Arabidopsis thaliana: one gene and its partners. The protein of the gene in region 3 interacts with the protein of the main gene of each other region in a pairwise test. Each region holds a gene or a part of one and is shown on either strand. Other genes may lie near its edges. The genes, in order: AT2G26030, BAM1, NAP5 and AT5G44960.

Region 1 (8,128 bases), on a different chromosome or scaffold from region 3:
TTTTGACCGCTTAGTTTTATCTTGTTCATATATATAGTTTTCACCTTTCAAAAATTTTGCACAAATTATGAAATAGCTTACACTATTACTATCAAGGTATTTATTCGACGAAGGTCAGACTACCAACTACACTTTTCCTAACTGTGAAAATCTCTGAATTTAATATACTTGTGTAACTATTGGCTTGGTTAAGATCTTATTTCTTGCATCTTGTCCAAGTCAGATTAACCAGCCGCCCATGCAAAGCCAAAGCAGCCGCTTAGGTTACATTAGATATTGAGAGAGAAAAATATGTGGTAGATAAACAAGCCATCAACTATTAATAAGCCAAGATCTTATCTTTTAATATTAGCTCGAGAAGGCGTACGTGGTGTGTTTAATTTGTGGGGTACAATTAGCTCGTTATTGTACCATGCACAAGTAGAAAATAAACTCACCATCATTTCATTATAAATAAAGGTTGATCTCTTAAGCTTATTTCTTCACACAACACATACATACATACATTGAAAACAAAGTAGTAATAATCATCATGGCTAAGTTTGCTTCCATCATCACCTTTATCTACGCTGCTCTTGTTCTCTTTGCAGCTTTTGGTTAGTAATGCTCTTATAATATGAATTAAAATGTAATGTTCATTTACATAACTAGAGAGATGTAACATACGCAGAAGTACCAACAATGGTGGAAGCACAGAAGTTGTGCGAGAAGCCAAGTGGTACTTGGTCAGGAGTTTGCGGAAACAGCAATGCATGCAAGAATCAGTGCATTAACCTTGAAGGAGCAAAACATGGATCTTGCAACTATGTCTTCCCAGCTCACAAGTGTATCTGTTACGTCCCATGTTAATTTACCAATTTTCTTTGGTTCTTTATCGATGTGTATTTATATTTTTAAAAATAAGTCTGTGTCATTCTATGAGTGACTTAAGGCATGCATGTTTATGTTTTAATGTTTGGTGTGACTTTTCTATAAAAATATAAAATTTAAGTACGACGTAGGACTTTTTTCTTGTCCATATTTGGTTACAACACGACCATTATACATACTATTTTTTAAGGACATAGTACGTATCTCTCACAAGAAATTGACACTTTATTAATATATAATAGAATCCATATTATTTTTTTGTTAAAATTAATTTTTATTAATCAAAAGTACTCTAAATTCATATCATATCATTTTGCCTATATATGTACTCTAAATTCATAGCCATGACCAACAACGGTTTGTTTATCTATAGCCAACTAAGCTAGTTTGAAAACCTACTGCCGATGAGAGCAACACATTGATGACTAATCCAATTTTCAGTTAAAGGTGTTTCCCCGTAAAATGTAAATGGAAAACTTTAATTTTCTAGAGCAGTTTCTTGTTTTGCAAACTTGGCCGAACTACGATGATGAGATCAACCAAATCATGTTGATGGACAGATTATCTTTGCTTCAATGCTTTTTAACTTTTTTTGCCATGGACCAAATCCATAGGTTATACAGTCTTGTAATTAAAACCTAAACATGTTTGAATTTTGGCAAAAAAAACACACACCAAATCATGGCATAGTCCACTACGATATATGTCTAACAGTCTAATTAGGGTGATGCTTTAACCGGAAACATTCGACCGCTTGGTTTTACCTGCTTGCTCCTGTCATATGGTTTAATTTTACCGTTCAGGAACTTTGTACAAAGTTACTTCCGAGGTATTTTATTCGACTCAGACTACGAACTACACTTTTCTTAAGTGTGAAAATCTCGGACATATCAATAAACTTGTCTAACTATGGCAATCTTAAGTTTTTACATTTTACCTACCTTTTTGATTAAGATCTTATTTTCTTGAATTTTGTCCGAGTCAGATTAACCAGCCGCCCATGCATGTGATCGATGTAGCATTAGCTCAAAGCCAAAGCAGCCGCTCAGGATACAATTTTTTTTTTTTTGAATAAAACTTAGGATACATTAGACATTGACAGAGAAAAAATATGTGGTGGAGAAACAAGCCATCAACTATTAATAAGCCAAGATCTTATCTTTTAATATCAGCTACGAGCAGACGTTGTGTGTGTAATTTGTGGGGTTACCACGTTATTGTACAGCTCACAAGTAGAAAATAAACTCACCAACATTTCATTATAAATAAAGGTTGAATATAAGCTTATTTCTTTACATAACACATACATTGAAGCAAAGTAATAATAATTATCATGGATAAGTTTGCTGCCATCATCACCCTTATCTTCGGAATATGTCAAAAGAAAGAAATTATTTCTATGTTTTCATAGGAAGTTCAAGTTAAATCACTCGACATAGAGTCAATTCAATAGCTTATCTCATGACTACGTTGAAGAAATTAAACATTATTTAAAAAGTTGAATTACGGTATACAAAAAAAAAACTCAAGATCCGGATGTTTTTGTAGATCACCAACTAAATTTTCTCATATCAAGAGAAAGCGTTATTAAAGCCAGACCTGTTTCTTCTTGTCTACATTCTTGTCTATAGTCTGGTAGCAATTTAATGTAATTTTCCATTCTGTAAATAAAAAACACTATTCAGTCGTTAAAACAATCCTTCTTAACGTATTTCGTACGTAATTTAATTGCTTTTATAATCAATCATAATCACATCTTACAAGTAAGTGAAGAAAGTAATACAATTTACAGTTAATATTATCCACACCAATGTCTGGAAAAGGCTAAGCCTAATTGCAAATTTTTCATAACAAAAGATTTCTACAATGATCTTCTATAAACATTGTCAATGAATGATGATAACCTCACAGCTGCGAGAACGCTTTGTGAAAGTACTAAGCTCCTTGAAGATATCTGAATCTTGGTTTGCTATCGAAGAATCTTCTAAACGCAAAATGAGTTTCTTGAGAACTACTGAATTCTTGAGAAAATACCTCACTAATTTCTCCCCGGTTTCTTCTCCCATAATCAATTCTCTAATCTCAACACACTCCAAACTCGATAACAAACACTGAGGGACATAGGTAAGTCCATCTTGCTCAGGCTCCGTTGAAACAGTAAAGTCCTGCAGGTGCACACGCTGTGTTTACAATATATTCAGAGATGTTCTTAACTAACCAAATCATAGATTTATTCATAATCTTACCAAGATGAGGTTTTCAAGATTTGGGCAGCTCTCAAGAAAGACAAGCAACAACTGCAACATGGATCGAGAAACCGCAGCTTGTAAACGGTACAAGTTATCGAATTTCGGAATAGGTACCAACTTCGAATATCGATCTAGGACCTGCAATAAAGAAAGAAAAGGATACATCACAGGGAATCAAAGTACATTTCTTGTCACATATATGCATCAAAAAATACATATTTCACCTCTAAAGTACGCCGAGAGATGATCATATGTCTTACACAAGATATCGCGGTTAAAAAATCACGGATGATATCTCTCTTGCGTAAATCCCCCGGTTCCAAACGACTGCCGCCAAACTTAACATTAAATTCACTATCAATATCAATCATCGACAAAGAAGTCATGTTCTTGACTACAATCGTATCAGATTGGTCATCATTAAAATTCAAATACTCAAGTCTAGGAGCATCAATCTCAACCGAAAAATACGTACAAGAAACACTATACTCAAACGTAAGACGAAAGCTTCTAAGACTCAGAGACCTCACACGAAGAAACTGCAGAACATCTAGATTACAAAAATCAATAGGCCTAATCAATACAAAATCTTCAAGAACAGGACAACCTGAGATAATCTTCTCCATGATCAAAGGATCATCATAATACCAAACATCTTCTAAATGCATTATCTTAAGAGACGGTAGTGAAACAACGAACTCTGGATTCTCGATTCCTACGGTTACAAGCATTAGAGACACCAATGTATTGCACTTATAAATATTCTGAGGCATGAACTCTCTTACACACATATTAGTCTCAAAACCTTTAGCATCTAGATGTTGAATTCCGCGATCAACCGTTGTTACAACCCACCCAGCTAACCGATCATCGTCGTAAGTGTATTCATCATACTTCAACTTGAATTTTCGCATTCGTGATTTTCGATTAAACTCGAGAAAATTGTCGATAAAGCTTGCGTAGTTTTCGTCAGGGAAATCGCTGACTTTTAAGTCGAGAACAGGAACCCTAAGCCAGAGAAATTCCCATCGTTTCGATAAAACGCTTGTTTTAACGGAATCTATGGTCGGAAGGTATGAGAGTACTTGAGTTAGTAAAGAATCTGGCAATTCGCAGATTCTATCGCAATTCATCGCAAGAAACAAAATCCTAAAGTATCAAATAGTTTCAGAACTGATCCCAAAATCAGACACACAATCATGTAATCGAGCTTGGTCTGAAGAACTCACCGTCGATCTGACTCGCCGGAGAATTATGGTTGAAGTTATCGGAGTAGAGTTTCAAAATTGATCCCAAAATGTGAATGTGAACGTGTCACCGTCGCCGGCGTTGTTATCTGATACGATCGGGGATTGGGCCTAATTGGGCTTGAATAAGCCCATTGATATCTTCTTATCTTATTTACGATTTATGAAAAAAAACTCTTCTTATCCCAAAATGTGAATGTCTACTCAGTACTCAAATGATATCAAACCGAAGAACATAGTTTGTCTGGATGCTGACTCGGTTCAGGACCATTTGGAAGGATTTTACTATAATGTTTATTATCACATGTTTATTATAATGTTCAAAACCATATAATATCTTTAACACTATTGATACTATTAAATATAATATATTTTAAATAAAAATAATATGTATCCAAGAAAATGGATTTTAGCTATCTTTTTAAGAAGATATTGATTATAAAATTTGTAAAGAGATTTTTTTTATATAAAAAAGATAATAAATTATGTTAGAAGAAGATCATAATTAGTTATAATATGTAGTTATAATGTTTAAAAAAAAAACTATGTCTTAAAAACCTATTTATAAATATAATTCTAACATTTTTTAAATATGAAACTAAATTTAGTTAACAATAGATTTTAATTGTTTATAAATAAAAAGTTAGATTATATTTAATATGTAATATATATACTTCCAATTCCAAGTGAAAATATAAAGTATATATATTTCTGAATATTAAAGATTACTGTCAATTAGATATACTTTACTTTAAAGCAATTTTGGAGGAAAAAGAAAAAGAAAATCAAGCGAAATAGAAAAACTGTATTTGTCTTTCTATTGAAAAGGTAAAACAACTTGTGGAGACACAACCATTGGAAGTAGTACATGGCTGCATGCATAATGTGACACACTTCTCTTTTCCAGCACTTTAAAGAAGTGAAAGGCAAAAGAGCTTCTACACGAATCTAGACCATGGATTCCTCTTGTAATACAAAAAATTATATTATTTTTATTGAACTGGAACTACTGTGGCGCAATTCTTACCATTTTTTTTTTAATAACACATAGTAAAGGGGACCAAATCTGAATGTGTGATACAATTACATAGCAACACAAATAACTAGACTACACATCACAACGGTCCAATGTTTTAAGACGACTATAATTAATGAAAAAAAATGTATTGGACAAGTTTTGTGGAGACACAAACCATCGGAATATATATGTATAAACTTTTTTCAAAGGTGCCCTAAAAAACGTTAACCTAATAAGAAGAAGAAGAAGAATGATTTTGGTAAGGTAAATAAAAATCTAATTCAACATTGCGACAAGAAGTGATTTCTAAGTTCCTTTTTGCTTTTTGATAACCGGCAAGATTTCTTGACTCTTTGTAGCGCAAATACTATAGACCAACTATAACCAATATTAATTAAGAGTGTAATACCAATTTTTGACATCATCAAAAATAGTCCAAAGTTTATTCAAAAATAGTCCAAATTTATTCAAAAATAGATGGTGAAAAAGCAAAATCAAATGACAGAATTCGTGATTTGCCGTTTATTGGAAAAAAATAAACAGAGAACTAATATGCGTTATGCAACAATAGTTTCGTTAACGGAATCGAATTAAACATTTGCTTCCAATAGTAAATCTCACAAATTAAGTAAATAATCAATAATCATCAGAAGAAAGGAAAAAACTTACCGAGAGAAAATATAAGAAATAAACTTGAAATTATTCATCATCATGCATAGGTGCAGATGTGGCGGCAACTCCGAGTTTCTGAAGGTTGAGTTTGACGACAGTGTCCACAAACATTTTAGTGTCTTCCTCTGTGTTTCCCTCGGGAATATCAACGGTGTAAGATTCAAGAACCACCGTGTAAACCTTGCCGGAATCTTGATTCAAGAACTCATTGACCGACGTCACTGATTTGTAGTTCTTGAGTCGGTGCTCTCCGCCGACGACCCTGAAGCTTAGAACACGGTGGTCGTCATCGACGAACTCAAGCCGCTCGGTACTGGTTGAGGCTGGGAGGCCGGAGATTACGGTCACTTCTCTGACGCTTCCGACGTCACCATCACCGGAGATGAGACGGCACCTTTTTACAAAGTGTTTGTAGCGTTCGGGGTTGTCGAAGCGGCGGATAAGAGGCCAAACCACGGAGGCCGGAGCGTGGATGCGTTGGGTTATGAGAGAAGTGCACGTGGTTGGGTCTGGTTCGAACTGGTGGTACGTTTTGATAACCGGTTCGAGGGTTTTCTGCTCTTCATCGGTTAGGCCTTTCACGGCCGGGGATGAGCTCATGGTGATGAATCAGTCACACGTGTGAGGGTTTTATGAAAGAGAGGTCTTCTTGTTGGAGGTTGGGGGGTTTGTGAAAGAGATGAGAATAAAAGACAGTTCTTTTTTTGGGAGCTATGAGTGTTTTTTTATATATTACTACAAATCTATGGGTGTTGTTCTTTGGACGGATTTATCCCTTTCTGTTTGTTTATTGTCCATATATTAACTCTTGTTCTAACTTATACTCTTCCCGTATCATTTTAAGTGATGTTTTAGCAAAAACAAAAAGTTTCATTTTAAGTGATGCTTTCAATTTTTTATACAAATTAAATGCATTTTTATACCAATTATATTTTACAATCATTTTTTATATTAGTTGAATTCAGTTTAATTAATAATGTTTTTTTATGTAAAGAGAACAATTAAATGAATATTTTATGCTTTCTTAATTTGTGGGTAAAAATATTAAACAAGAGGGAATACAAAAACTAGATCATTTCTTATTTATAAGCCCATTTTGTCAAAGAGTTTCCATCTTCTTATTTATGTAGAGGATTTATACATTGGCGTAAATTGAACTCAATATCTTTAACCTATAAGGTGAAAACAATCTTTATTTCTAGAAGTGAAATTTTATTTATTGTAAAGGTGGTTTTAGTAAACTTTAAATCAGTTAATACATAATGTTAACATTGGCATATAATTATGTTTTCAATGAACAGTCACTACACATTAAGACTTGGTCCAACCACCTCCCAAAATCCAATAACTAAATTGATGGACCTACTCCAATATTTTATTTTATAAATTTAAATAAAACTGTGGGGAAATGACAAAATATTAAATAAATATCCGGTCACCACTCTTTTGGGTCTCGAAAGAAAAAAAGAAAGAAAGGTGGTGGTCAGAGCTGGGTTATTTTGTCTTGTAGTTAACAAAATTCTCTGTATTATTCCTTGATTTAGTGGGACGGTAACACTGTATTGCACATGTATTTAATAATTAGGTCTTACCATAATAGATGTTCGATGCTTGATCATTTTTAGAAAGCACCTAATTTAACTATCCATAAAACTATTTTGTCTTCATTTACGGTTATGGTTCTTGAACAACGAGCCGAGCCAAACCCGATTCGGGTATAACTTTGATACAGTACCCAAATATAAAATGTGAACTAAAATATCTTCTCCTTCCATAATAAGTAATATTTCAGAGAAATTTATTTTATTTCATGGTTTTCATTTCAATGTAAAATAAATAAATTTATGATATAAACTTATTATCGTTTATTTTTATTTCTTTACAATTGTTTTTCTTATGTCTTAAAGATCCTTGTTTCTTTGAAATTTAATAGAATTTATCAATTACAAGTTATAGATCCAATGTAATATGTTTTGGTAATAAGGAGTGATTTAATCATTTTTCGGTAGCTAACAAGAATTCTATGGAGAAGAGATGATATAATCATAGGAAAGTTGCTTATTTTCTAAAAA
Region 2 (9,688 bases), on a different chromosome or scaffold from region 3:
TTGACAAGAAACACTTAACGGTCACATAAAGATTTCCTTTTTTCCTTGGATGGCTTTTCATGAGTTTGTTTCCTTTGTTTGTTAGTTGTTACTGTGAGAGAATCTGATGAGTTTAATTAAAGTGAAGAATTCACTCATTGCATGATCCGATCCTCAAAAGTATGTATACTAACCACAACAATCATGATTGTCCATCAAATTTGTCTTTTTTTAATGTTCTTTTGTCAAGCGGCCCACAAACCCACCAGCTTGCCCCAATAAGCATCATCACAGGGCGGGCTTGAACTCTACATATGTCCATAAAATATCGGGCTTGCGGGTTGGCCCGCGAAACAAATAGAATTTGATGGAACCTTCTGCTTCGTCTAGAGGATCTCAAACTACTACAGTACTCTAATTTTCAACTAAACCTAAAACTCTTCAGACTTCAGAGGATTTCATACCAAAATTTCGATTCTAAGTTAAATTGTTACCATCCTGTTCATACATTCATCAATTTTTCAATGTGGTATCATCCTTTTCTTTCTAGTGTAAATCTGTTTTGATTGATTCTAGCTTTCATTAGTTGTCTATTGGATGTAGAAGGTGCGATACTGTTGTAAAAGAGACACAAACTCAATCTGACACCATTAGGTATAAGTAAATCCTGCAAATGGAAAGTGACTTACGAGTGGTAATAAATATAATGTTCAGAACATGTTTCCTCTCTAATTCTCTCTGTTTTCCCAATATTTAAAATACAGTTTCGCAAGTATTGAAAGTGTTTTAAAAAGTGATCATACATAGTAAGAGTAACTCGTAGAGAGAGATAAGTTATGGGAACTGACTGTATCAAATTAGTTGGACCATGTTTTATGTCCGTGATGGTCGGACTCAGAAACAGAGTGGTGATGTGAAGATGACATGTTTATGGTCCCATTTTCACTTTTATTGGGTCGTGTTTCACCTTTCAAATGAACCACTAGAAAATTGAAGCAACTTTTTTTTTTCAAACCAAAGGAAAAAAGATGACTTTGTTAAGACCTTTGTCTTGGTTTTTTTTGCTTCATCAAGCGTCGCTTTCGCAACATGTTCTCTCTATTATTACATGATTTCAAAACAAGCAAAACATATCACTGCCTAATTCTTAACTTTGTGCTTCAGTCTTTCCATAAATAATAGTTAACTTTCAAATTCCTAAATGTACTAAAATCAACTATGGTTGTTGAGCTTTATTATTCTTCCGTTTAATCTTGGTTCGAAAGAAAAAAGATATGGTATAATCATTCCATTCATATACGTATTACTAATCATAGTTATCTTTTTGGTGAGTAAAGAGATTTGAATCAAGATTGTGTGTTGGTAATAAGAATCCTTATAGAGATGTGCATTTAAGGAGACAGAAAGGAACACAGCACGAGACGATGCGGTTAGAGAATAAACAAAACAAAAAGAAACTTGGTAATGGATACAACGTGATTCCATCGTTAAACAACTTTGCTTTTGGCTTTGGATTCTTCTCTATTTTAACTCTTAACCCAATGTTATCTCATTATCCTTCATCTCAATCTATTTTTCTATTTACTTAAATTTGAGTTTTCAAGACACTTTTTAAAAAAATGAAAAAGGGTTAGAAATAGAGAAGAGAGTAAGAAAGAAGTGTAAAATCAAATAAACGAATCTCATTAAGCACCTACTTCCCACATCTTTCTTAAAGTTTCTTACATAAAGCTCCCTTCACACGTGCTTACCAAATCAGATTGTCAATAATTCTTGCTCAATAATTTTTCGAAATTTATTTGAATTTATCTAATAAAAATACATTGTTTGAGTATGATATTTTGCTTAAGAAGGTTGATTATTCTCCCTATCAAAGTCTAAAAAGAAGATTACAAAACAATTGTATGGTTAAATTCATATAAATTTGTGACTAGTATTTTAATATTTACATATATACAAATACTTATAGATGAAACGAGAATGCAGAAATGATTATAGATAGATCAGTGACAGTGAACTGTAGCAACCGGCAAAGAAACCTCGTTAGCTGGACACACGATTACGATCATGCCCCCAGTCTCCTCTGTCCAGACGGCTGCATTAATAACAACGAGCTAGAGGGTGTTTTCGTCTTTTCGATACTTATCCCAAAACCGACAATCTCTGGTTTGGACTCGAAGGCTGATTTGGTCAATTCATAGCAACCGAACGAGCAGTCCATTCAAGTCCAAAGAGCTCCTTAGTGGTAAAAGATGTAATTACGTAGATGTTCCATGGTCAAGAATGTATTCAGTCAAAATAAATATTTGACCAAAACTTTCGGTTAATTTCCTACCACCAGCAAAATTATAACTTTTTCTAATAATTATCAATCATTTTCAATCTCTTTTAATTTTCTTTTTCACTTTTTTTTATTAATTAAAGTCAATTCACACTATACAAAAAGAAGGAAGTCTAAATATTTTTTTACTTTCATGTTGCTTTTCTAACTTTTATATTTTGCTCTTCTCAACAGATTTTGCTGGTTTTTGTATTAGAAATATTATTATGTTTCCAGAAATGAATTTTTTATATGTCGTCTGGATTCGTATATATATATTGGAAAGTGAAATTAATTCATTTGATTTTTTTCTTTGATATATCGACCAAATCAAATAAATACGACCCCATTGTGGCATTGTTAATGCAAAAAGGCACAAGTACAAAAAAAACATAATAATTCACTATTTTATTTACAGACACATGGGCCCAATTCATACGGCCCAATTACCATAAACCTCTCTTTTAAAGAGTGGGTTCCACAGTGGTAAACTTTTTGACTATCCATTGGAATGATTGCATCTGGACCGTTCATCTACATTAATTATTGGGTTTTTTCGCTTTAAAGCATCAATTAACTTATTACGTATAGGATTAGATTACCAATAACGATCTTTTTAGCTTTTGTCGTTTTCCGATAAAACCATACGATTAAGAATATGACCTCTTGTATCTTTTGAGGGATTTTAGTTAATCTTTCTACATTTATTTTGTTGGATGCTCATACAATTATCCTGTGTCTCTCAAAATAAAACAAAAATTACTCTATTTATTAGTACATTACACATGATTATTTAGAAAATGTATATTGTGGTCATATGAAATGAGAAATTAAAGGAAATTTGTCAATACTTGAGAACATCACCATTCAAATGTTTCAAGAACAACATGACTCCAAAACAAAATAAATGAACCTTTCCCTAATAATAGTATATTCTCCATCGTACAAAGTTCTAAATAATACAATATTCATTTCGTCAAAGCATATGATGTGTTGGAATCAGAATTATCTGCAAATGTTTGAATTTCAAATGTTAGTATCAGGCTATTTTTACTGTTTTATCAAATATCGTTTCTTCTGCAATCTATCACTTGATTGTTTTATCAAATCAGCACTAGTATTATTGATTTTGTAATTTGTGTTTGTCTACCTCCAATTACTTTTTAGTGTTATGATTAGTAATGTAATAAAATCACAAATCTGACGTGGCACCTATATACAATTCCAAAAACAAGTGGAACGAATATAAAACAAATTCACACCTTCCTCATCTTCTTCTTCGTCTTCACTTACCTTCTCTCTACACTCACACCATCTCACAACCCTAATCTCTCCCACACAAGAGAGATAGAGAGAAACAATGAAACTTTTTCTTCTCCTTCTTTTTCTTCTCCACATTTCTCATACCTTCACCGCAAGCCGACCAATCTCCGAGTTCCGTGCTCTCCTCTCACTCAAAACCTCTCTCACCGGCGCCGGAGATGACAAAAACTCGCCTCTCTCTTCCTGGAAAGTCTCAACAAGCTTCTGTACATGGATTGGTGTCACGTGCGATGTATCTCGCCGTCACGTGACTTCTCTTGATCTCTCCGGTCTCAACCTCTCCGGTACTCTTTCCCCAGATGTTTCTCATTTACGTCTTCTTCAGAATCTATCACTCGCTGAAAATCTAATCTCCGGTCCGATTCCGCCGGAAATCTCGAGCCTTTCCGGTCTTCGTCACTTAAATCTCTCGAACAATGTCTTCAACGGTTCGTTTCCCGATGAGATTTCTTCTGGATTGGTGAATCTCCGAGTTCTTGATGTCTACAACAACAATCTAACCGGAGATTTACCGGTTTCCGTCACCAATCTGACTCAGCTCCGGCACCTTCACCTCGGTGGTAACTACTTCGCTGGAAAGATCCCGCCTTCGTACGGAAGCTGGCCAGTTATTGAGTATCTAGCGGTTTCCGGCAACGAGCTTGTCGGGAAAATCCCTCCAGAGATCGGAAACCTAACGACTCTCCGGGAGCTTTACATCGGCTACTACAACGCTTTCGAAGACGGTCTTCCTCCAGAGATCGGAAATCTATCGGAGCTAGTCAGATTCGACGGAGCTAATTGCGGATTAACCGGTGAGATTCCGCCGGAGATTGGGAAGCTTCAGAAACTCGATACGCTTTTCTTGCAAGTGAATGTCTTCTCCGGTCCATTAACTTGGGAGCTAGGAACGCTATCGAGTTTAAAATCAATGGATTTGTCTAACAACATGTTCACCGGAGAGATTCCAGCGAGTTTCGCAGAGTTGAAGAATCTCACGCTTTTGAATCTCTTCCGTAACAAACTTCACGGCGAGATACCGGAGTTCATCGGAGATTTGCCGGAGCTTGAAGTGTTACAGCTTTGGGAGAACAATTTCACCGGAAGCATCCCGCAGAAATTAGGAGAAAACGGTAAACTAAATCTCGTCGATCTCTCTTCCAATAAGCTGACCGGAACTTTACCGCCGAACATGTGCTCCGGTAACAAGTTAGAAACTTTAATCACTCTTGGAAACTTTCTCTTTGGTTCAATCCCTGATTCTCTTGGTAAATGTGAGTCTTTGACCCGGATCCGAATGGGTGAGAATTTCCTGAACGGGTCAATCCCAAAAGGACTATTCGGATTACCCAAATTAACTCAAGTGGAGCTCCAAGATAATTATCTCTCCGGAGAGTTACCAGTCGCCGGAGGTGTCTCTGTTAATCTTGGTCAGATCAGTTTATCAAACAACCAGCTCTCAGGTCCATTACCTCCGGCGATCGGGAACTTCACCGGCGTTCAGAAACTTCTTCTTGATGGAAACAAGTTCCAAGGTCCTATTCCTTCAGAGGTAGGGAAGCTTCAGCAGCTCTCGAAGATTGATTTCAGCCACAACTTGTTCTCCGGTCGAATCGCGCCGGAGATTAGTCGTTGCAAGCTCTTAACGTTTGTTGATCTGAGCAGAAACGAGCTCTCCGGTGAAATCCCAAATGAGATCACTGCTATGAAGATATTGAATTACTTGAACCTGTCGAGAAACCATCTGGTTGGATCAATCCCTGGTTCAATCTCGTCAATGCAGAGCTTAACATCTCTTGATTTCTCTTACAACAACCTCTCCGGTTTAGTTCCGGGAACAGGACAATTCAGTTACTTCAACTACACATCGTTCTTGGGTAATCCTGATCTCTGTGGTCCTTATCTTGGTCCTTGTAAAGACGGTGTTGCTAAAGGAGGTCACCAGAGTCATAGTAAAGGACCTTTATCAGCTTCTATGAAGTTATTGCTTGTTCTTGGACTACTTGTTTGTTCGATTGCGTTCGCGGTAGTAGCCATAATCAAAGCTAGATCATTGAAAAAGGCGAGTGAGTCACGGGCTTGGAGGTTAACAGCTTTCCAGAGACTAGACTTCACGTGTGACGATGTCTTGGATTCTCTCAAAGAAGACAACATTATAGGCAAAGGAGGAGCTGGTATTGTCTATAAAGGCGTAATGCCTAATGGTGATCTAGTCGCGGTTAAAAGACTCGCTGCAATGTCTCGTGGATCTTCCCATGATCACGGCTTCAACGCAGAGATTCAAACCTTAGGAAGGATAAGACACAGACACATAGTGAGGCTTCTCGGATTTTGCTCAAACCACGAGACGAATCTACTTGTCTATGAGTACATGCCTAATGGTAGTCTCGGTGAGGTGCTTCACGGTAAGAAAGGAGGACACTTGCATTGGGACACACGTTACAAGATTGCTCTTGAAGCTGCTAAAGGACTCTGTTACCTTCATCACGATTGTTCTCCATTGATCGTTCACAGAGATGTCAAATCAAACAACATCCTCCTTGATTCAAACTTTGAAGCTCATGTTGCTGACTTTGGTCTCGCTAAATTCCTTCAAGATTCCGGTACTTCTGAATGTATGTCTGCAATCGCTGGCTCTTACGGCTACATAGCTCCAGGTACTAAAATCTTCAAAAAAAGTTTCTAACTTTACAATCTCTTGCTCTGTTTTTCTCTTTAAAGTTTCTAACTTTACTATCTTTTGCTCTGTTTTGGTGTTTGTGTAGAGTATGCGTATACGTTGAAGGTAGATGAGAAGAGCGATGTGTATAGTTTCGGTGTGGTTCTTTTGGAACTCGTCACCGGAAGAAAACCTGTCGGAGAATTTGGAGACGGTGTCGATATAGTGCAATGGGTTCGTAAAATGACTGATTCGAACAAGGATTCGGTTCTGAAAGTATTGGATCCGAGACTTTCTTCGATTCCGATTCATGAAGTGACGCACGTCTTCTATGTAGCGATGCTCTGTGTAGAAGAACAAGCTGTTGAGAGGCCGACTATGAGAGAAGTTGTTCAGATTCTCACTGAGATCCCGAAGTTGCCACCGTCGAAGGATCAGCCGATGACGGAATCAGCGCCGGAGAGTGAGCTTTCGCCGAAGTCTGGTGTTCAAAGTCCGCCGGATCTACTCAATCTATGAGAGTTTTCTGATTCACGGCGGTTAATTTAGGGTACCGGTATAAGGGGTAAATTTGTCTTTTCATAAATGTTATTAGCGATGAGATTTGGTTGTTAATTTACTTTAATCCCTCTTAGTACGGTTTGTGCTTTGGTCCGGTTTAGTAGGTTTTTTTTTGAAAGAAGGTTGTTTAAACTCTTTTTAAGTGTGTTTCATTTTCCTTTTTTATGTTTTTAATCGGTATTCGGCTTTATTTAGTTTGTAATTTGTGTTAATGAAAATGTACAGTTGGTTTTTTTTTGAAGGAATTTCAAAATATCTTGAAAAGAGTGAAATGTGTAATGTGAACACTCTTGCATGTCTTGCTATAGAGTCACGCATCTGCAACTGATATGAACGATCACCTTCTTTATTGTTTTTAGGTATTTGACTTTGTTACAAAGATTCAAATGTAGCTACTAACACCTGCAATAACCTGAAAGAAATTTCATCAAACAGAAATTATATTTGATCTCCATCAACAAGATGTTTGAGAGCGGTTAAAGTTGTGGTTGCGTTTGCGTTTGGTGAAAATGTTAACTTGGAAGAATAATTAAAGAGGAAGCATGTGAGAGGTCAAAGGTATAAATGTGGTGGGGAGATAATGATTGGTTTTGAGTTAATATGAGAAGCCTATAAGGTGATATTTCTCCCACATGCAAAATATATACCAAAGTCTTTAAGTCTTTAATGATTTTGATGAGATCTCTTCTCTATTCCCTGCTCATGAAGCAATTTCTACTCTATGTAAAGCATTTATGATTTCATCGATCACTCATAAATATAAGCCACACCCAACTTACATTAATATGGTTTTCATTTGGCTGTACGTAGTTTCCAATGATGATTGTAGATCTAAGTCTAGGTTTTAATGAGAAAATTGGACCAAACAAACAAAATTGTAGCTATCTTCGTGTTTGTTCACATTTTGGAGATAACAGCCTAACTAGATCATGGGCTAAGTGTTAGCTTTGATAGGGATTCTCACGTAACTCTATGATAACATATTGCACTAAAATGTGATTTAGTTCACTCACTAAGTTAGTGACATTTCCAAAAAGTGTCATCCACTTAGCAAATTCCGTTGCTATGTTTATGATTCTTTCATTACTATACTCCAAGCAAGAATTTGACGAGTGATACTGCAATTTTATCTTTTTCATAAACGTAACGTTTATTTCACAAACAAACAAAAAGTGTTTTTGTAATTTCCTTGATGCACACATCAATTGCGTGTGTGTTCACGATTTCATCACATATACAACAACTATTTTCCATTTCACTGTGCGTCCATGGGATATTCATGTTCGATGGATCATAAAGGTAAAAGACTCAGGAAAAACAATAGTTAATGTCATTTCATATCAGCTTTATATTCTCACATTATGCGTAATTTCCGGACAAAAGAAAGCTATTAATTAGAAACTTTTTTTATCTCAAAGAATTTTCGTCTGTGACAACTCATAAGCACTGAAAATTAGACTACTCCAATTTTCTAACTCAATTTACTCTGTGTCTATGCTATAGACCTATCAGTTATGTAGCACATATAAATATCAATCCAAACATTTTAATTGGTAAGTTTTAGGGGTGAAAATGCCACGTGGAATTTATGATTGTGATGTGACAGAGACACGTAGAAAGAAGAAGGAGTGCACTGTGTTTTGAATGGGTCCGTTTTGTCTTTATCTTGGCCTTCATTGTTTTCCCCGACATAGTTATGTCCCATCCCTCGTAGTTGCTAAAGAGAATCCTTACACCAAGGTAAATTACAATAACAAAATTTAGAAATTTAAATTTATCAATTGATCTGATATGTGAAATGCAGTTTGTATACATTTGGTATTAGCCGCTCAATTTTCTTAAAAGATTTCAGAATTTAGTGTAGGTGATTAGGTATAATTAGTTGCTGGTCATCATAAGAAGAAAAACACAAAAACCCTAATTAATATTCGTACCTGCTATCACTAACACTATATAATATACGAAAGTGTCTAGCTAATTATGTAAGATGATTATAGTGGCTCTACCTTTTACTATGATTCACGTACTAGTGACTTGTGTTGGCCCAAATCTTACTCATTCCGTTTAAATTTTATAGTGTTTACATATATATATGTAATGGAGTTGGAATGCTCTTGGGGACATCAAGAATGACCGTTTGTTTATCCGTGACATATGACTGAACTAAGTAAAATAAAGGACGTAAATAGTTAGTATATGAATTTGATTCATGGATGAACGTCCGTGACATATGAGACCGTCGTATGTCAAGAAAATGTGTGTGAGAAAATTATATGTCATATACGATGATATCGTAACGTGGTGCTAGCTAGGTAGAGATTCGCTTTGTTTCGTAAATGCTCATCGACGTAAACAAAATCACTTTTGAGTTTTATAGTTTCACGAGTAATGATGTACTTGTATATTATGATGATTGCAGTACTCTTTTTTTCTTAAAGAAGAAAGCAGGAGATGATTGTAAATTTGTAAATGTATATTCTTGTAACCAGAGAATTATCATCAGAGATTAATAATGGTTAAATTTAGAAAGTAATAATAGTGAGGTGACACTGAAAGGACAAAAAGAAGAAGAGACAATTGGTTAAGTGCCACTTTTTCTATTTGTTGACATACATTTTTGAAAATCAAACGTGACAAATATTTCCAAATGCTTCTGATCCTTTTGAATTTTAAGCACATAGCTCTTTTAAAAATAATTAAATTACAATTAGCTGTAAAGTTCACTTGCCTCATTATTTACAAGATAGAGAAATATTATAATGTTTTGCATGATCAAACCTTCTTACTATATTTTACCAGGCATGATCTAATTTCTAATAATGCATTGTCTAATACGTAATCATTACTGCCATTATTATAAGTTATGC
Region 3 (7,169 bases):
ATTGATTTCAGTCAACCGCAGCCACCCAGATTACAAATCCTTCAAGCCAGAGAAAAAGAAAGCGGAAGTCTCCGAGTCTCCTGGAGAGCGCTCCACGGCGCAAGCTCAGTCAGAGAAAGGGCTTGAAATTATAGAGGTCTATAAATCAAGCATACACAATAGTGCAATATTTGCATCAGTTGGGGAAGACAAAGGAAATCTGTACACAGCTTCTGAAGCCACTGACGTTGTGTTCAAATACATTGAGAAGGAAAATCTAGTAAAGCCAACAAACAAATCAATGGTGGTGTTGGATCCGATACTATGTGATGCATTGTTCAAAGGAGCTATCAAAAAGGGATCGGCATATCCGTCAGAGATCCACAAAAAGGATGTTGGGTCGACATTTGTAGGTAGAATGCAGCCTAATCACGTAGTGATGAGAGGAGGCGGTGAACCCGTGGTTCGTAAAGGAGCTGTAAAGCCGGTTCAGATAATGACAGAACGAAGACAAGGTAACAAAAAAGTGACCAAGGTCACAGGGATGGAGACGTTCTTGATAGACCCAGACTCGTTTGGATCAGAACTGCAGAAGAAGTTTGCTTGCAGTACTTCAGTTGGAGAACTTCCAGGTACGTTTAAAATCTATCCTTTTTGTTTTGTTCAGCTGTGTAAGTGAATTAACTATTTGAGAGATGATTGATTGTTTTGTGTGTTTGCTTTCAGGTAAGAAAGGGTACGAGGTTCTGATTCAAGGAGGTGTGATTGATAACCTTGCGAGATATATGGTGGAACACTATGGAGTTCCAAAGAGATACATCGAAGTTCTTGATAAGACTAGAAAGTGAATGGTTTTTTCTATTTCATTTTTTTTTTGTGTGTTTTAATCTTCTAATTTTATTTGATACGTACACTCTGTGACTCTAGAGATGTGGAACAAATGAGAATAAAATTGTTTTGTTATTAGTTTTTTTTTTAATATAACAAAAAAATTAAAGAAAATAATTTATAGTTTGATGGACTTTCTCTCTTTTGTGCAGTTGAGAAAATAAAAGGACTTTCTCTCTCTTCTCTCTCTAGATCTTTTAGAGAGAGGAAGTTTCTGATGCTCAAACTTGGCTCCGACAATAGCCAGCTTTTTTAGTGGTGTTGGTTGGCTTCCTTCTGGCGTCGTTAGCTCCTTTAGCAACGTCGGCTAGCTTTTCTCCGACATCGGTGGTTTCTTTAGCACCGTTGGTCGGCTTCGTTCTTCAAATTTAGTTTTTGCCTTTCAACCTTGTTCGATTCTATTTTGCTTCGGTTTTAATTGGTTTTGATTTCTCTTTCTCTTCATTTCGATCTAAATTTGTAATTTTTCGATCCTCCCTTCTTTAAGGGGCTTAATTTGTTCTTCAAGCTTATTGAGTTTTCATTTTAAAAGATCAAATTTTTAGTTACGGATTGAAGTTTAATTTAGTGTCTTTTGTTTGATTTTGATGAAATTAGAGCTGTTGTTTGTCTTTCTTGTTGCCGATGCTTGTTGAATCGTTTGGGTTTATGTTGTTTTTCCTTTAAATGGCAGAAGTCGAAGTCGATAGTTTGTGAGCTATTTCTTTCTTGAAGGTTTTAAATTTTACAGTCATTGTCACAGAAGATTTGTCAATTGTCTCATCGGATTTGTAGCTGCTTCCGATTTGGCGTTTACAGCAATTCCGGTGAACTTAAGTTTTTTGTGGTTATGATTCTCCACCTGCGACATTCTGCAACTCATCATTTTCTGTTTCCACGTGTCCTCTTTACCGTGTCTCTAGTGCCATGTGGGCTTTGACTTATTAGCACATTAGCTTTCTCTTCTTCAGAAGGTGGTCTTTGGGCTTTTGTCCGTTTATGGCCTGTTATATGGCTTTGTAAAATATGGCTTGTTAAAAGGCTTTGTAATATAAATAATAAAACAGTTGTGACAAAAAAAAAAAAATATATAGTTTGATGGTGATTGGTGAACTTCTTTTTTTTCCAAGATTGCAGTAAACGTCGTCTTTAGCTCCAAAAACAACCTTTGTCTTGTTCAGCTAATGGCGATTTTTGAATGGCGGCACAGAAGACGGCCATTCGACGGCGGAGGAACTCGTCGCCGTCGTTTCTTCAGCCCATTGTATTCGAGAAATTTCAAGAGAACGATTCTCTTCGCTGTGATTTTCTTAGCTATCTTCCCTCCTCTCTACTTCCATTTCAAGCTCCGACGAATTCGTCAGATTGTCGCGCAAAAGTGCGATTGGCTTCACCATCCTCCACTTGTCTGTGCTCACGGCGGCGATTCCACCCTCGCTTTCCCAAACACTGTACGTACACTCTCGATCTCTTCTTCTTCACACTCTTGCTACTAACCTTTTTAAACCTTAATCTCTTGGACTCTTCTCAATCGTAGATGGACGCTTACAGTTTCGCTATACGTTCTCGAGTTGATTGCATTGAAGTCGATGTTTCTCGTTCCTCCGATGGTGTTTTATTCGCTCTTCACAACAGGTTACAGACTCTGATCCTTGTTGTATCATCTTCTTCTAATGTTTCTGTGTTTGGATTCTCATCGGTGTTCTTCTTATTCATCTTCTGATCACACGCACAGTCAGGGATCTGCAGCGTATTGCTCGTAACTCTTCTGTTCAAGTTGGAGATCTGAGTATGAAACAGGTCTCATCTCTCCCTCTCTCTCTTTACCAGCTTTTGGGATATGCTTTTTTGCATCCATTTTTCATAAACCTTTTGATGATCTTTTTGCAGATCAAGGAACTCGATGTCTCGGAGATTGTTAAAGGAACCTTGGGAAGTAGTAGGATTCCTACTCTTGAAGAGGCTTTAGCGGTAATGCCTGTTTTTTTAATTACTATCTTGTCATTGCTTTGCTTTGTAATTTCTGCTTAGTAACAAGTGGCTGAAGCTAGTTTTGATCTTGAATCATCTAGTTGATATCGAATTCAGTCCGGAAAGTGATCCTTGATGCCAAAGTTGGACCGCCAATGTATGAAAAGGGGTTAGCACAAGACATCCTTTCTATTGTAAGTACTATGTTTTTGTTAGCTCTTGTACTTGTAAAGCTTTAGTACAATGTGCTCGAGATTTATAAACATGTTTTGATTCCTTAATAGCGTTGCTTAATCATTTATTTCCTGGTATCTTTGTACACAAAGCTAGAACAGCTTACTATAGATACTTGAAAAAACAAGAGTATGGATAAATTGTTGATGTTTCAATGGTGGTATTTCTGGCTTTGCTCACATGAATCGCCAATCCTCTGTTGTTAGATTGAGAGAGCGCAGTGCAATAATTGCATCGTATGGGCCAAAAGCGACACTTTGGCTAGGGACATAATTAGACGAGCACCAGATACTATGGTAAACAGAAATGGATTGTCTTGTGAGGATCAGATAGAGAAGTTTCTTGCTCATTTCCTAGTGATTTTGGCAGGTGGGATACATTGTGATGGTAGATCCTTTGACTGGGGCGAGAAACAGCCTGCTGAGAATGAAGGGAGCTAGGGTTGTGGGAGTTTATCATCCCTTGATCGATGAAGAATTAGTTAGAGTTGTCCGTCGGTAAGCAATCGATTTCAATGTTTTCAAATAAAAACACACCTGCTCATGTGTTTACAACCTTGCTCGATCTGATCAACAGGAGAAACAAAGAGGTGTATGCATGGACTGTGGATGATGCTGATCCCATGAAAAGGATGCTTCACTTAGGTGTGGATGCTGTTGTGACGAGCGATCCATCTATGTTTCAGGGTCTCATGGAAGATCTTAGAACTGAGTGTCTTGAAGAAGGTTTTTCAATACGGACGTGAGAATTTCTTTTTCGAGCATTCTTAATGACTGTAATACCAACTCAGAAGTTTTTGGCAAAGATCTTTCTTTATGTTGTTTTGCTGATCCACAAGTTTTTGACAACTACACACTACGACGCCTTGATACACAGTAAGACGAGTCTTTCTCAAGAAAAGCAAAGTATGGCCGGTTCTTGATGAAGCCATTGCTTCTATCGATACAGCTACTGATAATCTGATCCAGGAGACTCTGAGGCAACACTTTTCGGACTGCACAGTGAAAACAATCTCACACAGATATCTTCTTTTATACATAACGATATGAGCCTGCTCCTAGAACAAGGTCTAATACACTTGTATTTAAGTTTAAATAATCAGATGACTGATATTAAGTCTGTTTATATAATATGGATAGAGAACGATATGATAAGGTGATTGAAGCATGTTCTTTGAGTAAAGATCTGGAGATACTTTCATTCGGTGATCAGACCGTCATTGGAGAACGCGGCATCAATTTGAGTGGTGGACAAAAGCAAAGAATACATATTGCACGCGCTCTCTACCAAGATGCGGACATCTATCTGTTTGATGATCCTTTTAGTGCTGTCGATGCACACACAGGGTCACATCTCTTTAAGGTACAATCTTCTTACTTAGCCATTAGTGTGATTGTGATTTCTCCTTCCGTAAACAATCATGTATCAAATTTATTTTCATTCTCATACTTTTTTCAGGAAGCTCTACGAGGGCTTTTATGTTCTAAATCGGTTATATATGTAACCCATCAAGTTGAGTTCTTACCTTCTGCTGATCTTACACTGGTATGTGAATAGTTCACTGTCTTTTATCATTTTCTACAGCACTGAGAATATGAAATCATCCATAACCGATTTTCTTATGCCTCAGGTCATGAAAGATGGGAGAATCAGCCAAGCTGGAAAATATAATGATATCCTCATCTCTGGAACAGATTTCAGGGAGCTTATAGGTGCGCATCAAGAGTCTCTGGCAGTAGTTGGGTCGGCTGATGCCAGTTCTGTTTCTGAAAACTCAGCTTTAGACGAAGAAAATGGTGTTGTGAGAGATGATATTGGTTTCGACGGGAAACAAGAAAGTCAAGATCTGAAGAACGATAAATTAGATTCTGGGGAGCCCCAAAGACAATTTGTTCAAGAGGAAGAGAGGGCGAAAGGTAGCGTCGCTTTGGATGTATACTGGAAATATATCACACTGGCATACGGAGGAGCTCTTGTGCCTTTCATATTGTTGGGGCAAATTCTCTTTCAGCTTCTACAGATTGGAAGTAACTACTGGATGGCTTGGGCTACTCCTATTTCTGAGGATGTGCAAGCTCCTGTGAAACTTTCTACGTTAATGGTTGTGTATGTTGCTTTGGCATTTGGAAGTTCCCTCTGCATTCTTGTTAGAGCCACGCTTCTTGTCACGGCTGGTTACAAGACTGCTACTGAACTGTTTCATAAAATGCATCACTGCATTTTCCGTTCTCCAATGTCTTTTAAAATTGCAAAAACTTGTTCAAAAACTTGTATATATTCATCATAACTATATCCAAATATGTATTATATTGACAGAAAGAAAGAAAACAAGAGAAAATAAAACATAAAAATAATCCATAATGTCAAATAAAGAAATTACAATATACTTAAAATAAATAAATATCTAAACATCTTTTTTTTAAAAATATTCTTTTTAACTTACATATAATATTGTTAAAAATTGAAAGTATAATTAACAACATCAAAGCATCAAATTTGAAGGAGAAATCATTGTTGGCAAATACGAAATCGTTCTTTGTCTAAAAAAAGAAACTTGATCTTGACGATTTCTGATATTTGAAAAATAGGCAGCCGCTAGACCAAGCATCCAAAACTTTTCATGTAATTGGTTGGTTCTTATAACGTCAATCTTAATAGAATATATTTTCTCCCATTTTTCGGTAGGATATTCTTGGTGTAAACTCCAAACGACCAAATTTGAACTTTCTAGCACATCCGATAGGCACAAACGTTCATTCAGATTCCACATTTCTATATTAGTAGCATATTTGGTGTCACACTCTGGTAATAATATCCATCGAAATTCTTCAGTGTGAAGATCGATAGCTAATAGCTGGTAAGATGTTTGACTAAGCTTCTTTAATGTCAACCAAAAGAGGGATCCGTTGGCGTAGACTGATGTTTGCTCATCGCAGAAGATACAATGATGTATGTCATAAAACCCTACGTCTCTTTGCTCACCATTATCAAGGGATAGGACCTTGGCCTTGAACTCATGATCATGTATTTCATATCTTGTATATATCAAAACCACCTTATAAGATTTTTTAACAATATCTTTGCCAAATCCAGCAAGAGACGGCATTCTCTTCACTAATCCACCTTGACGAAAAATTTTTTTTTGATAAATAGGTATATAACATATTACTATGTGAAAGTTAAAATTCAACTCTATAATCAACCATAGAACAAGAAAGTTGACAAACCAGATATGTCATAATCCAATACTGATTGAGAAAGTTGTCTCCATGGTTTATTGGCCATTGCGGGGGTTAAGTAACTAAGAGTAAATGGCCATTGCATAAATTCGGGAGAAAGTTTCATGTGTTCTTTAGTCGTCGGATTGATCAAGTAAATGGACCTGAAATCGTCATGGATCCGAAGCAAGACCAATCCATCACAAGACCCCAATACTTGAATAGTTTTATTTTGAGATTCGTCGACTGGATCACCAGAAAAAGTGTAGTAACTAGAAGAAGAAAGACAAGTTTTTCTGTTGTTTTGATCATCTCTAGAAAAAGTCTCCAAAAGAAAAGTTATTGAGTTTGAATATTCTTCAACAAAATTCGCTGTAAAGTGTTGACTAATATGAAGAAATTTCATATTAGGGGTTGGTAAGCCTGTACGAATGAGTCGTTTGTGGGAAAAGTAGGTTGATTCGATCATCGATGTCCATTTTTTTGATAAGACTTTGAATCTAGCCAGTGATTTTATTGGAAGATGGTGAAAGATCCCTTCAGCTATATCATCTGGTATAAATATTGTCTTGGGATTATTATGTTTATCATTCTCCATTCTTTTCCTACGATGATGATTCTTGGAGTAGATTTGTGTATCTCTATATATAAAGAAAATAATGATCTAATGTTGGATTTTTAACTTTAGATTTAACATTAACTGTGGCGAAAAATATATAACACTATTAATTTATATTAGAATAATAAAGAGCAAATAAATAAACATGTATTTGTTTATGCTATAAATAATAAATGTTGATTAATATATGTTTATATTATTCCTAAAAATAATGAAAATAAATTAAGACAATTTATGATTAAATATGCTTTCATTTAATTTTCTTTAGCAATTAATCCCTT
Region 4 (7,509 bases), on a different chromosome or scaffold from region 3:
ACTCCAGAGTCGATGTTATACACCGAGGCACATTGGTAAGATCGATTTCCTCTGGCTCCGCTGAAACATATAAGTCCTGCAAAATAAAAAGAGCTAATCAGCTTACAATATATGCAACAATGATCTTAATTTGCCAAATCAAAGATCAAAGACAGATTCTTACCAAGATGAGTTTTTTCAGGTTTGGGCAGCTCTCAAGAAAGGCGGGCAATAGTTGTAATGATGTGCTGGAGAATGCAGCCTTCAAATGAGATAGGTGATGGAATTTGGGAATAGGCCCGAGTTTTGAATAACGACATATGACCTGCAAAAGAGAAACAGAATGTTATTAAGTGAGGAATCATTCCATAGCTAGAAAAACTAAATTGTTAATCACAGAGAAACATTATTTACCTCTAGAGTACGTTGAGAGATGATCATCTGTCTTACACTCGATATACCAGTGAGAACGTCACGGATAATATCTCTCGGTTCCAAGGAACTGTAGCCAAATTCAGTATCAAGATTTAACTTGAACAATGAACTCAGATTCTTTACCATGATTGTATCAGAGTGCCTATTTATAAAACTCATATACTCTAGTTTTGGAGCATCAATCTCCACCGAAATAGGTATAGTAGTCATCATCTCCAAATCAAACACTAAACGTAAGATCTTCAGTGTCAGAGACTTCACATGTAGAAGAGGCAGATCTGGTATTACCATATCATGAATCCTTACCACGGTAAGATCTTCAAGAACAAGACACCCTGCGATGAGTTTCTCCACAACCAAAGGAGCATCATAACCGTACCAATTATTTTCTAGATGCATGATCTTGAGACAAGGTAGAGAAACAACAAACTTTGGATTCTCAAGCTCTACGCATACAAGCTTTAAAGACACCAATGTCTTACTCTTATAAATGTTCATAGGCATGGAATCTTTGAGAAAGAGAGAAGGATTTTTGGTCTCGAAATCTAAATGTTGAATCCCGCGATCAACCGCTGCGGCGATCCACTCCTTTAATCTGTCGCAACACACATTGTAGTTGCCGTGATTATTTGTCATCTTGAACTTTTGAAGGCCTGACGCACTGTTAAACTCAAGAAATCTTTCAGTGTAGTTCTTGATGATATCTCTGTAAGGGAAAGGGAAGTCAACGGAGTTTAAGTCTAGACCTGGAACTTCAAGCCAAAGATTTCTCCATCTGGTCGATAAACACTTGTCTTAACTGAATCTTTGGTTGGAAGCCATAAAAGAATCTGAGTTATCAAAGAATCTGGAAGTTCGCTGATTATATCGTTTCGCATTATGAGACGTAACCCTAAAAGCTTCTAAAACTACAATATCAAAAGGTGTTTTGCTCAGATTTCTCCAAATTCTAGGGTTTAAACAATCACAGGAAACGTAACGATCAAAGCAGGAATCAGAAGAACTCTCCGAATGAATAATAACGAATTGTTTTTTTTGTTTGTTTTTAATGTGAAGAACGAATTGCTTTTATATAGCAAATAAATTATGAATCCAAACCCTATTAAAATTTTCTTTAGTACAACTAGATAAATGGAAATTTCTTTTAGTTATTAATTAATAATATCTAAACTACAATTATTATATGTTGAAATTAAAATATTAATTCTTAAAGAAAAAAGACAAAAATATAATTTAACTGCGTAACTCTCTGTCCTGAGATTGAAACAAAACCAACAAAAGATGAAACAAGACCATGTGCTAACAAGCATCATCATCTGCATGTCAAACAAAGATAACTTGACATGTGGGAGAAAGCTTTGTTGATGTAAGAAGCTTCTTGTAGCTCTCGCTCTCTATAGAAGAAAAAAATGAGAAACGTAGAGTAAGTTTCTTGAGGACTGCTGAATTCTCAATAAAGTAATTTACTAGTTTAATCCCACTTTGCTCCATCATCATCAGTTTGTTAATGTGAACATACTCGAGAGTCGATATCAAACACTGAGGCACTTCGTGAAAGTCGATATTTTCTTCCTTAAATGCCCCATAGTCCTACGAAAAAATATGATTCAAACAATGTTCTGTAGCTAAATCACATATTTCAAGCAGATTCTTACAAAGCAGATGTCATAATATGTTCCAACAATATTCTTAGTTTGCCAAATTAAAGATCCATCAGATTCTTACCATGATTAGGTTTTTCAGATTTGGGCAGCTCTCAAGAAAGGTTGGCAATAGTTGTAACGATGTACCGAAGAACGAAGCCTGCAAATGATATAAGTTACGGAATTGGGGAATCCATCCTAGTTTGGAATAAGAATGTAGCTCCTGCAACAAAAAATACAAAAATTACATGTGAAGATATTTTTTTCATACAGAATTAAATACAATAAATTGTTAAATATACCTCTAGAATGCTCCCAGAAATGATCATATGCCTTACACTAGATATCACGGTTAAAAAATCACAGATAATAGCTCTCTTTCTTGGATCCTCTGCTTTCAAAAGACCGCCATACTCAAAACTAGATTTGGCTCTAATTTCGATACTAAACAAGGAACTCATGTTCTTTACCATAATCCTATCAAATCGACTCTCGTAAAATGTCATATACTTGAGTCGTGGAGCATCAATCTCAACTCAAAACTCTGTACCACTCCCATTGGTCGCAAAATATAAACGAAGGCTTTTCAGAGTCTGAGAGCTCACACGCAGAAACAGTATAACGTCCTGAGTCAAAATATCAAAAGGCTTAATCAGCTCAAGATCTTCAAGAACAGGACATCCTGAGATGAGCTTCTCCACAACCAAAGGGCCATCCTCACCGTAACAAATTTTCATCAGTTTCAAGATCTTGAGACAAGGTAGAGAAACAACAAAGTCTGGATTCTTCAACTCTACGTTATAAAGCTTCAAAGAGACCAATGTCTTGCTCTTGTAAATGTTTTGACGTATGAAATCAACTCTATTACAAGTATGCATATAAACATACAAATGTTGAATTCCACAATCAACCACTGTACCGATCAACTCCATGAATCGATCTCGATAACCATTGCATTCGAAATACCTTATCATGAACTTTTGCAGGCGTGACCTGCAGTTAGACTCCATAAATCTGTCCATAAACTTTATCAAGCCTTCTTCATGATGAGGATTTGTGAATTGAAGGCTGAATAAGTCAAGTCCAGGAACGTTTAACCAAAGATTTCTCCATCTCTTCGACGACACGCTTGTCTTAACAGAATCTTTGGTCCGAAGGTCTAAGAGTATCTGAGTTAGTAAAGAATCAGGCAATTCGTTGATATAATCGCACTCCTCCATCCCTAGATCCTGAACAACAACATCAACATCAAAATCGTGCGATGAGGAATGAAGAAATAACCGTCTCCGTCGATTTGATTTGACAGCAGATTATTGCCGGAGTTGGAGAAATCCTACTAGGCTTTGATTTGACGGCAGATTTGATTTGATTTGATTTGATAATTAGAAAGATGATCGTTAAATACTTGAATCGATCAGGTTCGAGAAATCCTACGAGGGGGTTTATCTTATTTTTGGGTTTAGGGCCAAAAGGGCCCTATAAAAAAAAACATAAACCAAAAGAGGACCAATGCAACTTACTTGCGGTTTACGAAACCTTATTGAAACCTGTACAATATATAATTTCGGCCAAAAATTGAAATAGTATAAGATATTAAGATACCTTGAGCAAAAGCCCATTATAGATGTAAATTCTTATTTTCTACTTCAACGACATACTTGTCCATGGTAGAGATATAGCACAGAACCGATTTTCGATGATGATCCAAAACAATAAAATGCATAGATAAATTGGCTTTTAACCATATGAATATTCCATAGTTTCAAAAATACAAAAAGACAATATTACCACCTGAGGTTTTAATTCCCAAGTTAAACCTAAACCACCTTGTCTATAAATGCAACTTTCTTAAGAATATAGAAACTGAGATTAAAGCAAGAAAAGTTGAATAATTTGACCTTTAAGCATTATAAGATCAAAACATGACACCCACGAGATCGTTTTGTTGATGTAAGAAGCTGCATGTAGATCTCTGACTCTTGGTTGGTCATGGGAGAATCTATGAAACTCAGAGTCAGTTTCTTGAGGACTGCTGAATTCTCAAGAAAGTATTTCACCAATTTAATCCCACTTTCCTCCCTCATAGTAAGTTGTTTAATCTCAACGTACTCCAGCGTCGAAATTAAACACCGAGGCAGATTGGTAAAGTCGATTTGCTCTGGCTCTGCTGAAATAGAATAGTCCTGCAAAGAAACAAGCTGAGTTTACACTATACTTCAACAAGGTTCTTTATTGTAAGCCAAATCACATATTCAAACACATTCTTACCAAGATGAGGTTTTTTAGATTTGGGCAGATTTCTAGGAAGGCGGGCAATAGTTGTAACAATGAGCTGGAGAACACAGCTTGCAAATGATATAAGTTATGGAATTTTGGAAGCTGTCCGATTTTGGAATAACGATAAAGCACCTGCAAGGATAATGAATATGATACATGTGAAAAATTAAAGTACATTTAATCAATGTGTTATATAATACATCAGAGACTTCAAATATATAGGTACGTACCTCCAGAGTAGGATGAGAGATGATCATATGTTTGACACTCGAAATACCGGTAAGAAAATCTCGGATAATATCTCTCTTAGTCAAGTCCTCCGGTTCCAAAGGACTGCCGAGGCCAAACTTGAGATTAAATTCAGTATCAAGGTCTATCTTGACCAAGGAACTCAAATTTTTTACAACTATTCTATCAGATTGACTATCTCTAAAACTCATGTACTTAAGTCCTGGTGCATCAATCTCGACCGAAAAATCGTTACTACCCATTCCCCAATCAAATGTTAAACGGAAGTTCTTCAAAGTTTGAGACATCACACGCAGAAAGTTAAGAAAATCCTCATGATTCCTTACAATGGTAAGATCTTCAAGAACAGGACAGCCTGAGATGAGGTTCTCCGCAATCAAAGGACTATAAAAAATGTCTTCAAGATGCATGATCTTAAGACAAGGTAGAGAAACAACAAACTTTGGAGTGTCAAGCCCTACATTTACGAGCTTTAAAGACACCAACGTCTTGCTCTTGCAAATGTTGGCAGGCATAAAATCAATGGTCCATGGAGGACAATCAGTGGCCGTAACATCTAGATGCTGAATACCGCGATCAACGACTGTAGCGATCCACGGCACAAATCTGTCCATTAGATAATACAAATTACTTTCATAGTTTAACTTGAAATTTTGTAGGCGTCCGCGGTTAACCTCAAGAAACTTGTCCATCAAGCTCTCAAATAAGTTTCCATCAGCAGGGAAGTCATGTACGTTCACGTCAAGACCAGGTACCTTAAGCCAGAGTTTTCTCCATCTGCTAGATAAAACACTTGTCCTAATAGATTCTTCGATGTGAAGGTACATGAGTATATGATTTAGCAAACCATCTGGTAATTCGCTGATCCTATCGCGCCCCATCACTAAATCATAAACAACGACGACGACATCAAAATCCGAAATCAAATCCAATGCATTGATGAAGTTTTTCAATTTTATATCTCAAACCTAGGGTTTAATCACTAAGGTAAACGTACATTCAAGGAAGGGAGTGAAGAACTTACCGTCGATTTGGTCTGACGGCAGATTATCGCCAGAGATCTTGTTTCAGGGTTAAGCAGTTAAAGACAAAAATGAATCGATATAAAGTATGGTGGAGCAATATCTTGGGAATATTTGAGCATATTTCACAAAGATTAAAAACACACAAAAATCTCATTTGATTTTTTTTCCTATAAAAAAATCAATTAACTACATTTAATTCAACCAATAAAAAAATATGCCGTAAAATATTATTGATCAAAAATTATTTAATACATTTAGTTTTTGCATAGTTCGGTTTAAAAAAAAATCCAAAACCGAACCAAAAATCTGAATCTCTAAACATTTTGTTTGCCCATGTGGATTCTTATTTTCTTCTGATATACTCCAACAACCTATTCGTTCAATGAAACAATCTAGTAACTTTACCGATTCAAGAGACAAAATAGCTTGAAACCAAAGCAATAAAAGTTACATAGGCTTGCCCTTTAAAGATCAATAGATCATTAGTTGTTAAAGAATTCAAACAACAAAAAGATGGGATAACCTAATAAACCTTATTCTAACAACGATTTTTCATGAGTACAGATAATTCATACGCTAAGGTTCAATGAAACACGCTCATGTGCTCACCAGCATCATCGGCTGCACGTCAATCGATGATAATTTGACATGTGGGAGAAAGCTTTGTGGATGTAAGAAGCTTCTTGTAGCTCTCAGGGTCTTGCTTTTTCTTAGAATGATATGTGAAACTTAGAGTCAGTTTCTTTAAGACTGCTGAATTCTCAAGAAAGTAATCCACTAGTTTAATCCCACTTTTCTCCTTCAATATCAGTTCTTCAATTTGAACATACTCGAGAGTCGATATTAAACACTGAGGCACTTTGTGAAAGTCGATATTCTTAGGCTCAAAGGGAAACTCCTGCGAGAAAAAGGAACAAGCTGATTTTACTATATGTTTCAACAATGTTCTTTAGCCAAATCCCAGATTCAAGCAGATTCTTACCATGATTAGGTTTTTCAGATTTGGGCAGGCTGGGCAGCTCTCAAGAAAGGTTGGCAATAGTTGTAACGATGAGCTTGAGAACCTAGCCTGCAAATGATATAAGTTATGGAATTGGGGAATAGGTCCCAGTTGTTTGGAGTAAGAATAAAGCATCTGCAAGAAGAATGAAAAGGATACATGTGAGAATTGTTTCATAGAGAACTAAATAGTTATATACGTATCACAGAGTGTATATATTTATACCTTTGAAGTCGAGTAACAGATGATCGTATGTCTTACACTCGATATCACGGTTAAAAAATCACCGATGATATCTCTATTCCTTGAATACTTTGGTGCCGTAAGACTGCCATAGCCAACATTATCCTTCGTATTAATGTCGATAGTAAACAAAGAACTCAGGTTCTTTACCATAATTCTATGAAATAGACTCTCATAACATTTCATATACTTGAGTCTTGGGGTATCAATCTCAACTGAAAAATCTGTAGCACCTGTACTATTAATCGCAAAATATAAACCAAGGCTTTTCAGAGTCTGAGAGCTCACACGCAGACGCAGCAAAACTCATCGAGTCAAAACATCAAAAGGCCTAATCAGCTCAAGATCTTCAAGAACAGGACATCCTGAGATGAGCTTCTCCACGACCAAAGGACCATCCTCACCGTGAAAAATATTCTCCAGTTTCAAGATCTTGAGACAAGGTAGAGAAACAACAAACTCTGGATTCTTTAACTCTACGTTATAAAGCTTCAAAGAGACCAATGTCTTACTCTTGTAAATGTTTTGACGTATGAAATCAACTCTGTTACAAGTATGCATATAAACATACAAATGTTGAATTCCACGATCAACCAGTGTACCGATCAACTCCATTAATCGATCTCGATAACCATTGTGTTCGAAATACGTTATCATG

What was found.
Region 1: the proteins of NAP5 (region 3) and AT2G26030 interact in a protein complementation assay, tested with the Arabidopsis thaliana proteins (one large-scale study listed by BioGRID).
Region 2: the proteins of NAP5 (region 3) and BAM1 interact in a protein complementation assay, tested with the Arabidopsis thaliana proteins (one large-scale study listed by BioGRID).
Region 4: the proteins of NAP5 (region 3) and AT5G44960 interact in a protein complementation assay, tested with the Arabidopsis thaliana proteins (one large-scale study listed by BioGRID).

Annotation. Positions count from the first base shown.
Region 1 is NC_003071.7:11,088,749-11,096,876, forward strand, and holds AT2G26030 (F-box/RNI-like/FBD-like domains-containing protein), read right to left. Parts: upstream 4,697-8,128; 5' UTR 4,253-4,696; coding exon 3,344-4,252; intron 3,258-3,343; coding exon 3,117-3,257; intron 3,051-3,116; coding exon 2,757-3,050; 3' UTR 2,582-2,756; downstream 1-2,581. Other genes in the region: PDF1.2b (plant defensin 1.2b), read left to right, coding at 533-596, 671-849; PYL2 (PYR1-like 2), read right to left, coding at 6,084-6,656.
Region 2 is NC_003076.8:26,278,167-26,287,854, forward strand, and holds BAM1 (Leucine-rich receptor-like protein kinase family protein), read left to right. Parts: upstream 1-3,544; 5' UTR 3,545-3,659; coding exon 3,660-6,258; intron 6,259-6,366; coding exon 6,367-6,779; 3' UTR 6,780-6,799; exon of another isoform or gene 6,800-6,925; 3' UTR 6,926-7,247; downstream 7,248-9,688. UniProt on the Arabidopsis thaliana protein: Necessary for male gametophyte development, as well as ovule specification and function. Involved in cell-cell communication process required during early anther development, and regulating cell division and differentiation to organize cell layers.
Region 3 is NC_003070.9:26,882,183-26,889,351, reverse strand, and holds NAP5 (non-intrinsic ABC protein 5), read left to right. Parts: upstream 1-4,182; coding exon 4,183-4,413; intron 4,414-4,509; coding exon 4,510-4,596; intron 4,597-4,681; coding exon 4,682-5,338; downstream 5,339-7,169. Other genes in the region: AT1G71350 (eukaryotic translation initiation factor SUI1 family protein), read left to right, coding at 1-611, 706-827; GDPD4 (PLC-like phosphodiesterases superfamily protein), read left to right, coding at 2,031-2,297, 2,384-2,481, 2,586-2,646, 2,737-2,817, 2,919-3,011, 3,258-3,347, 3,421-3,548, 3,628-3,796; AT1G71320 (F-box family protein), read right to left, coding at 5,534-6,165, 6,279-6,515, 6,558-6,867.
Region 4 is NC_003076.8:18,149,620-18,157,128, reverse strand, and holds AT5G44960 (F-box/RNI-like/FBD-like domains-containing protein), read right to left. Parts: upstream 3,278-7,509; coding exon 2,663-3,277; intron 2,588-2,662; coding exon 2,360-2,587; intron 2,281-2,359; coding exon 2,140-2,280; intron 2,005-2,139; coding exon 1,738-2,004; downstream 1-1,737. Other genes in the region: AT5G44970 (Protein with RNI-like/FBD-like domain), read right to left, coding at 1-76, 164-304, 394-1,002, 1,161-1,292; AT5G44950 (F-box/RNI-like/FBD-like domains-containing protein), read right to left, coding at 3,965-4,240, 4,326-4,466, 4,565-5,464; AT5G44940 (F-box/RNI-like superfamily protein), read right to left, coding at 6,237-6,506, 6,591-6,743, 6,834-6,956, 7,173-7,509.